Canis lupus familiaris: one gene and its partner. The protein of the gene in region 2 binds, or shares a complex with, the protein of the main gene of each other region. Links are inferred from orthologs where the notes say so. Each region holds a gene or a part of one and is shown on either strand. Other genes may lie near its edges.

Region 1 (3,687 bases), on a different chromosome or scaffold from region 2:
CCTTATTCTTGATATATGTACTGTACTCCACTGTCTGCAGCTATCAGTTCGTTTAACTAATCTACTATGGGCAGACATCTAGCTTCCAATTCCACCTGCCCACTTTAGGGTCATCATGGGGAAAACACATGCTACTTCTACTTTAAAAACTGAAGATGTAAAATCATAGGCATGGGTCAAATTTGGCTTATGTCAGGTATTCTGTTTGGCCAACACCCAAGTCTTTAAAAATGTCTGCATTAGCAATATTTAAAAGACAGAAAAGATTCAACTTAAAAATCCAAATTTCTAGCTTCTCTGAAAACAAATGTTAAGATCTGGCCATACCAGCTTGTGTTTCCATATAATTATGGGTTGGAGCCAAGTGGGGTGAGGGGACCCAGGTGAGGCACGTGCTCTCCATTCTGCCGCCATCACTGTTACTGCCTATCTAATCCTGCTATCATTTCCCAGCAGGAGCCACTGCCCCTTTGTAGTGGTGTGCTTGAGGCAGTGTGCCCTCCATTAAGAATGAGATTAGGTAAAGAACAGAAGCTCCTGTTCATTCATTTAGGAAACATTTATTAAGCCCTCAATGAACATTAAAGAGATGGTGCTGTCCTCACAGCACATTCACACCAAGATCCGAGACCACTGAGGGCAGGCGGGAACTGAGTGGTGCTGGCCAGGCCCAGCCTTCAGAGGTGGTGGAGGGCCTCATGAAGAGGCAGCTCCCTCTCCCACCCCCAGTACAGAACTCTGTAAGGCTTTCCTGACTAAACAGCAAGTGCAGGAGTTTGATAAGCAGCACCCACTCTGGGCTCCATCTGAGGGGCAAGCAGAAAAAAAGGGGCCAAAGTGGAGGCAGTGGTGGGGAATGGTATGTCTGCCCCACAGATGGCTGTGGTGAACGATGGAGCACCAAGATTCTATCCTTTCAGAAACCACCTACCTGTGAGCCTCCTGCTTTATTCCAAGTCCATTACATGATGTTTGAGAATGCCTCTCTTCCTGAAAGGAATGCAGGAATCATGCTCCCCGTCACTCCCCCGCCACTGCCAGGGGCCCATGTGAACAGCAGGCTCTTGTTATAAGTGCCTGTTTCGGTCATTCTCACACCCCCAAAGCACTGCCCCCACCCACCACTGGTGGCTGCCAGGACCTATCAATGGGTCTTGTGTCCATCCAACTCCAGTGGCCAGACCCAACAGACACTGGCAGGCTGAGGGCTCCCTCCTGCCATCACAGAGCAGCCAATCCCCACAGACAGAGGCTTCTCATGCTCAGACTCCTGATGCCTATCTCCTAGCAGAGTAGTTCATGTCCTTGCAGGTTACAAAGTTGGAGAGTCCTGGGTCCGCCATGACCTCAGGGGGGATGCTGTCTTAGATCCCTCATTTTGGTTTTTGAGTTTCATCCTTTTAAGATGATCTTCAGAGCTTTAAGTTCATCCTGGTTGAGGGGGCTCAGGTTAAAACCCTTCAGCTCTGGCTTGCCTAGGGGGAGAAAACAATCATCAGCAAGTTGGGCCTCCTGTTGTCCAACCTCCTGCTGGCTCTGGAGTCAGGCCCAGGAAAGGGGTTTATGCTGCATTCATGTGCCAAACACTTGGCCCAAGATCTAGTGGGGGAGGGCCTCAAATTCTGCAATGCGTTGGACAGGGCACATGAGTCACCGAAAACCTGCAGAGCCATGATACTGCTGCCCAGAAACCTACCAATTTCTGCCAAACCTGTGACCAATCTGGAGTGGTTAGCTTTACCCAGAAGTTCAGCTCTGACCTTGACCATCTGACTGAGGCCCTCTCTGTTCCCCTCAGACAGAACTGTTCTGGTTCCTATACCACGCCCAGGATATAATGTGAGATACCCCAGACTGTTCCCCTTATGGCTGGAAAAAAGACTCGTGAGAGGAATAAGACCCCATAAACCTTGTCCATTCCATCTCTGGGCCTGCCAATAGCCTCTGTGCGGCTCACATGCTGCCTAGGCCCTCGCCCGCCTACCTAGGAAGGCCTCCCACATTGACAGTTCTCTCCCAGCCCGGCTTCCAGTTCCCTCCAGGCCCATACCTTGGGCCTCAAAGAGGCGGTTGACCTTCACTTTAAGTTGTTTCCGGAGTTTCTCTATTTCTTTATCCAGATGATCCTGATCTGAAAAAAATGAGGTGGGCACCGGATGGGGTTATACTACAGACACACTGACCAAAGGCAGCTGGGGAAGTCAGCTTCTCCTAGCCTCCTTGAAAGCAAGGGCTCCTGGCATTCGAGAAGAAGGGGACTTCAGAGACCAACTGAGGAAGGAACTAAAGGGCTAGAGAAAGGGAGGTGGTCTGCCCAAGGCGGCTGAGTGAGTCCAGGCAGAACTGAGCACCCGCCTCTCCATCCAGTGACCTGTTTTCATTATGCAATGTACCCTGGGCTGCTCATAGGTGGAGAAGGCAATATCTGGACTTTAGGACCCCCTCCCACAGTGAAATTCCAGAAAACAGAACCATCAGACCAGAATGAAGAACCTAGACTCAGCACATCCAAGATGATTGGACAAAGTGTGGCTAAGGAATCTTACAAACCTAAGTCCATCAAAAACCTAAGCAGTTTTTAAGCAACATGACCATAGTAACATGTGATCTGAACAATCAATGGGCAAATCAGGTGCTCAAGCTTAATCTAATTAACTGTGGTGAACAGAAAAGGTTATCTTGCCCAGATGGATCACATCTGAAGGCAAACTGCACTATAGGAAGTACAGGCTACAAAGCTTGGTGATGCAACTGCCTAATGTCACCTGACTTCACCTGCTCATGAGTGTAGTGCTGGCTAGTTGGTCTTCTCCACAGATTTTCATTCTTTCTGATGGAGAGAAGCTCTGAGCAGCCGAGCCCTCTGGCCTGGGCAATGGTTCTAGTACTCATGGTAAATGAGCAACGCTAGTCTCTTACAAGCTTATTTAACTTGCATCAACCCCTAAGAACTGGTGATGATAATATCTCAGAATCCTTCTAGGTATGGCAACAACCCACAACTGTGGGCCAAGACAGCTGAGAACCTGAGTGGCCAGCAGCCCACCACCCAAGTGCAATGACGACTCTTAATTTTATAGTCATAACAGTAGTGTGTATTTTTTCAACAGGAAGGTGGAAACTTCTCTAAGGTGATCTAGTCTCCTTTGCTATAATTTTATTTCAACAGGGATAGGGAGCCTCTGCCTTCAGGGACAGAGGCGAACTTGCTGGTCCTCTTGGCACATACATTTTTGATGGGGGAATATGCATAATCTTTCGTTTTTCCAGCCAAGGACCCATCTGTACCCTCCCTTTTGTACTTTTATGATGCTCCTCCAAAGAGCCCCCAGGATCATGCCTGCGAAGATTTGAGTAACATGCTAAGTACCCAGGCTGTGGCACACTCTAGAGGCTCACTCTCCTCAAACCTCCATTTTCAGTGCAATCTCTATGGCAGGGGATGTGAAAAGTAAAAGTGCCTCTGCCAGGCTCCCTTGCAGCTATGGTGGCCACATGACTTAGTTCTGGCCAATGAGATGTCAAAAGTCTCTGAGGACGACAGCATTATTTTGAAATAGAAAGCAAGGCCATGTATGGAAAGCCCTCTGTTGCTCCTGCAGCCTGGCCTATGGACATGAGGCCTGAGATGACACAGCCACTATGAGAATACATGAGGGTGACCTTGCTGGATCTCAGTGCCAGTCT
Region 2 (4,135 bases):
CCAACAAGGAAGCTACCTTTCCCTCCCCCTTTCCCTGATACCTGGCAAGCTGGGTATATTCTCCCAAAAGGTTCCCACCCAGTGGCTCAGACAGGCGTAGTGTCTCTGCAGGGTCCCTTGCAATGAAGTCAAATGCCTCAGGCAGGAAAGCCAGGCAAGCACCCAGTCTGGCAGCCTCTCGAACAAGCTCGGCGCATGTTTTAAAGTTCTCCTGCTTGTCTGGTGTTGATGTTACCTGGCACACAGCCACCAGCGGCAGTTCCCAGGAAGAAGAGGAGATAGCCATGGCTCTGGGACTGTGAATGGCACGGGCAGGGCTCAGACTTCCAGAATGGGGAAATGCAAATTTAACAATCAGAGTCTTAAGTGGGGGAGCAGGAGGGCTGCGCTGCCCTTTGGTTTCTGCTTTTCAGGGCTCCCCACTGATGAAATGTTCTGTGATGGTTGGCACCCCAGTGTATCCCACCATCTATGCACATCACAGACATTTACTGAACATCTATTAAGTGTCAGGCGCCAAGGACAGAGCAAAACATGTTACCTGGGCTGTGCACAAAGTACTGAGAGTCGAGGTATCCGGAGTCCAGGACACAAGAGAAGGGGCAGGAGCTGGTGAGGAGGCCTGATGATGAAGCCCAGCCTGAGGAAGGTGAGAAATCAGGACACCACTCCCGCGCTCAAGCAGCACATTTCCAGGATTCTCTGACTCCTCTCTTCATACTGGGAGGCTGAAGCAGGGCCCTCGCAGAGAAACACCCCCCCTCCCCACCAAGTCTTACTGGGAGTAATTATGGGCTACAGGAAGACTCATAAAGTGGGAAGACAGAGGAAGGGGCTTTGCTCGGCACCTGTCTCGGCTCCAGTGGGCTCGTATTAGATTGAAGCCCCCCCACCCCCACCCCGCCCCCGCCCCCACCTGCCCGCCCGGGGGAACATACCCGCGGTTCAAAAGGCATCCCCAAGAAACCTCCCTGCTCTCCCCAGCCTCTCCCCTTCACTGGGCACCTGCACGGCGGCACTGCTCAGCGGATGCCCCCTTACCCCGATCTCCGAGGGGAAGCTCACCGTCCCTCGCCCCTCCCACCCCGTGGGGGGCAAAGGGCACCGGCACCCACACACATCCCAGCCCGCGCCCCCACGCTCCGGTCAACCCGGCCTCTCCGCCTCTCCCAGGCGCAGCGGCTCCCTTGCACGGGTTAAAGCCCCGCAGCGGAGTGCACCGCTGGGTCCTACATGAGGATAGAGCCGAAACCGTCGGCAGCGTCCGACCGGAGGAGCGGCCTGGAAGCGGCGGCCCCGGGGCCAGGGGGCGGCAACCTCCAGGCCGGATGTGACGCACGGGGGCGGGGCCGCGCAGGCCGGAAGCGCAGCGGGCGGCGAAGATGGCGGAGAGCAGCGGTCGCGCCGGCAAGAGCAGCGGCGGCGGCGCGGGGAAAGGGGCGGTGTCGGCAGAGCAGGTGAGGAGCGGAGGGCGCGAAGGAGGGCAGCCGGGCCGGGCCCGAGTCGGTGCGAGGAGCGGGCGGCGCCGCTGGCTGGGGCAGGCCCCGCGCGCGTCCCGGCGTGGCGGGGCCGCCCCGAGAGGGGAGGGTCCTCGGAGAAGCTGGCCGGGTCCGGGGGAGAGCGCGGGAGGGTTGGTCGGTGAAGGCCACGCCCCCCCCGGGGTGCAGGGTGAGCCGGCCCGGGGCCCGAGCCCGGCGGGAGGGGAGGGGAGGGGAGGGAGGGGAGAGGAGGGAAGGGAGGAGAGGGAGGGGGAGGGGCGGGGGGCGGGCGTGGCTCTGCCTACCTCCCCGCACCCTCCCGCAGGATAGGCCGGGCCCGGCGGCTCGGCACGAATCCCCGGGGATGAGCCGGCGGGCTGGCCGTGTGGCCTGTTCGGTGACCCCGGCACCACGCTGACCGTCGCCCTCACTCTGCAGAGCCACGTGACTCGCATGCCCCAGCAGTCCGCCGTCCCATACTATTTTGACCCGCACGTCGTTATTAGATTGGATTTCCTGAGCGACCAGAAACCGTGTTGTAACCCGAGTTTGCATCTCCCCCAGTGTCTCAGCAGCGGGAGACGTGTGATAAACAACCCGGAGAGCCTTTTGTGGCGCGCGGGGAGCCCTGGTTTGCTAATGGCGGGGCTAGTGTGTAGTCTGGGTGGCAAGAAATCCCCGCGACAGAAGGGAAAACCTAAGACAACAGCTCTTCTCGCTGCAGGCTCGCTCGCTTGTCAGTTATTTGTCGAATAGTCACCGCAGGCAAAGGTGTCTCCATAAAGATTTTTCAAGTTGGCCCACGCCATCAAAGAGCTCACAGTGAAATAAGACCTACTAAGTGCTAACATAAGGCCGAAGATGAGTGTCCTAACAGGTATAAAGTGCTGTGGGATTTTTAAAAAATATTTTATTTATTTATTCATACAGACACAGGCAGAGGGAGAAGCAGGCTCCATGCAGGGAGCCCAACGCAGGACTCCATCCCGGGTCTCCAGGATCAGGCCCTGGGCTGAAGGCAGGGGCTAAACAGCTGAGCCCCCCCGGGCTGCCCAGTGCTGCAGGACTTTGGGGGGGGGGAACGATAGTTTCTGCCCCCCGACCCGTGTGTTGTGGTGGGAGGAAAAGGAGAAGGAACCTAATACTTTCTGAGGGGTGGCTAAGAGCATAAGAAGTGCCCTAGGGTTGGCGGATCTGTTTTAGAATCACGGTTCTGCTATTTATTATGTGTAGATGACCTCCCATGAGTTCCCTCTCTCACCTTGTAAAAATTTGGCAGTTCATACTTCATCACTGTTTTGATTATTATTAGACAAGAAATGCATGCAAAGTGTTTTGCACAGTAATGAGTATAGTGTTTGTTTTTCTGGGAGAGATAATCCTTCAGTTCTAAAGGATGAGAGAAGTTAGTCAAGCAAAGAAAGAAGCGGAGGGACCCCTGGATGGCTCAGCGGTTTGGCATTTGCCTCCAGCCCAGGGTGTGATCCTGGAGACCCGGGATTGAGTCCCACGTCGGGCTCCCTGCATGGAGCCTGCTTCTCCCTCTGCCTGTGTCTCTGCCTCTCTCTGTCTCTCTCGTGAATAAATAAATAAAATCTTAAAAAAAAAAAAAAAAAAGAAGGAAGTGGAGAATTTCCTAGGCAGAGACTAATGTCCTTAAAAGCAGTGAGGCATGAACCTTTCTGGCCTGTTGGGGATGCAGGTGGGCTTAAAGTATGGGGTGGACTGCAAGACTTCAATGTGAAGAAAACGGGATAGAGAGGAAACTAGAATGTTTCTCAGATTTATGTCTTTGATGGATGCTTGTTCATAGGCAATGTAGGAAGATAGGAAATGCCTAGGGGGGTGGGGAATATGTTTCTCTTGGGGTTTTGAGTTTGGATTTCTTGTAGGACATTCAAGTAGAGGTATTTAATAGTTGGTTTGATTTATAAATTTTGAATTACATTTGAGTCAGAGAACTATAAGCTTATGGAAGGCTGATAAAGTCATGGTAATGGGGGTAGCCCCGGTGGCGCAGCAGTTTGGCGCTGCCTGCAGCCTGGGGTGTGATCCTGGAGACCCGGGATCGAGTCCCACATCGGGCTCCCTGCATGGAGCCTGCTTCTCCCTCTGCCTGTGTCTCTGCCTCTCTCTCTCTATGTCTATGAATAAATAAATAAAATCTTAAAAAAAAAAAAAAAAGTCATGGTAATGGGCAAAATCATCTAGGGTTTGTGCAGAAAGTTGAAAAAAGAAGCAGCAGAACAAGGATGGAACCAATATTTAAGGGGTTATGGAGAAAGAGAAGAAGCCCTCCAAAGAAAGCGAGCAGTTGTGATAATTGAGTTCTGAGGCTGTTCTTGCTTAACATTCTATGGCCTTTGTGTTTCAGAGAGAACACTGGATAAAAAATGTAAGATTTATTGGGGCACCTGGCTGGCTCAGTACATAGAGCATGTGATTTTTGATCTTTGGGTTGTGAGTTCAAGCCTCATGTTGGGCCTAGAGCTTACTTAAAATGTTTTTTAAATTTTTTTATTTACTTATTCATGAGAGACACAGAGAGAGAGAGAGAGAGAGAGAGGCAGAGACACAGGCAGAGGGAGAAGCAGGCTCCATGCAGGGAGACTGATGTGGGACTCAATCCCAGGACCCTGGGATGACACCCTGGGCAG

Evidence for each region. The genes of interacting proteins can lie anywhere in the genome.
Region 1: PFDN2 (region 2) and PDRG1 share a complex: the UniProt entries of both Homo sapiens proteins name them as parts of the PAQosome complex. The link is inferred for Canis lupus familiaris from reciprocal best matches to the Homo sapiens genes PFDN2 and PDRG1.

What each region holds. Positions count from the first base shown.
Region 1 is NC_049245.1:21,881,840-21,885,526, forward strand, and holds the end of PDRG1 (p53 and DNA damage-regulated protein 1), read right to left. Parts: intron 2,132-3,687; coding exon 2,051-2,131; intron 1,476-2,050; coding exon 1,393-1,475; 3' UTR 541-1,392; downstream 1-540. UniProt on the Homo sapiens protein: May play a role in chaperone-mediated protein folding.
Region 2 is NC_049259.1:22,183,245-22,187,379, forward strand, and holds the start of PFDN2 (prefoldin subunit 2), read left to right. Parts: upstream 1-1,315; 5' UTR 1,316-1,382; coding exon 1,383-1,457; intron 1,458-4,135. Other genes in the region: NIT1 (deaminated glutathione amidase), read right to left, coding at 42-296, 542-640, 1,234-1,235. UniProt on the Homo sapiens protein: Binds specifically to cytosolic chaperonin (c-CPN) and transfers target proteins to it. Binds to nascent polypeptide chain and promotes folding in an environment in which there are many competing pathways for nonnative proteins.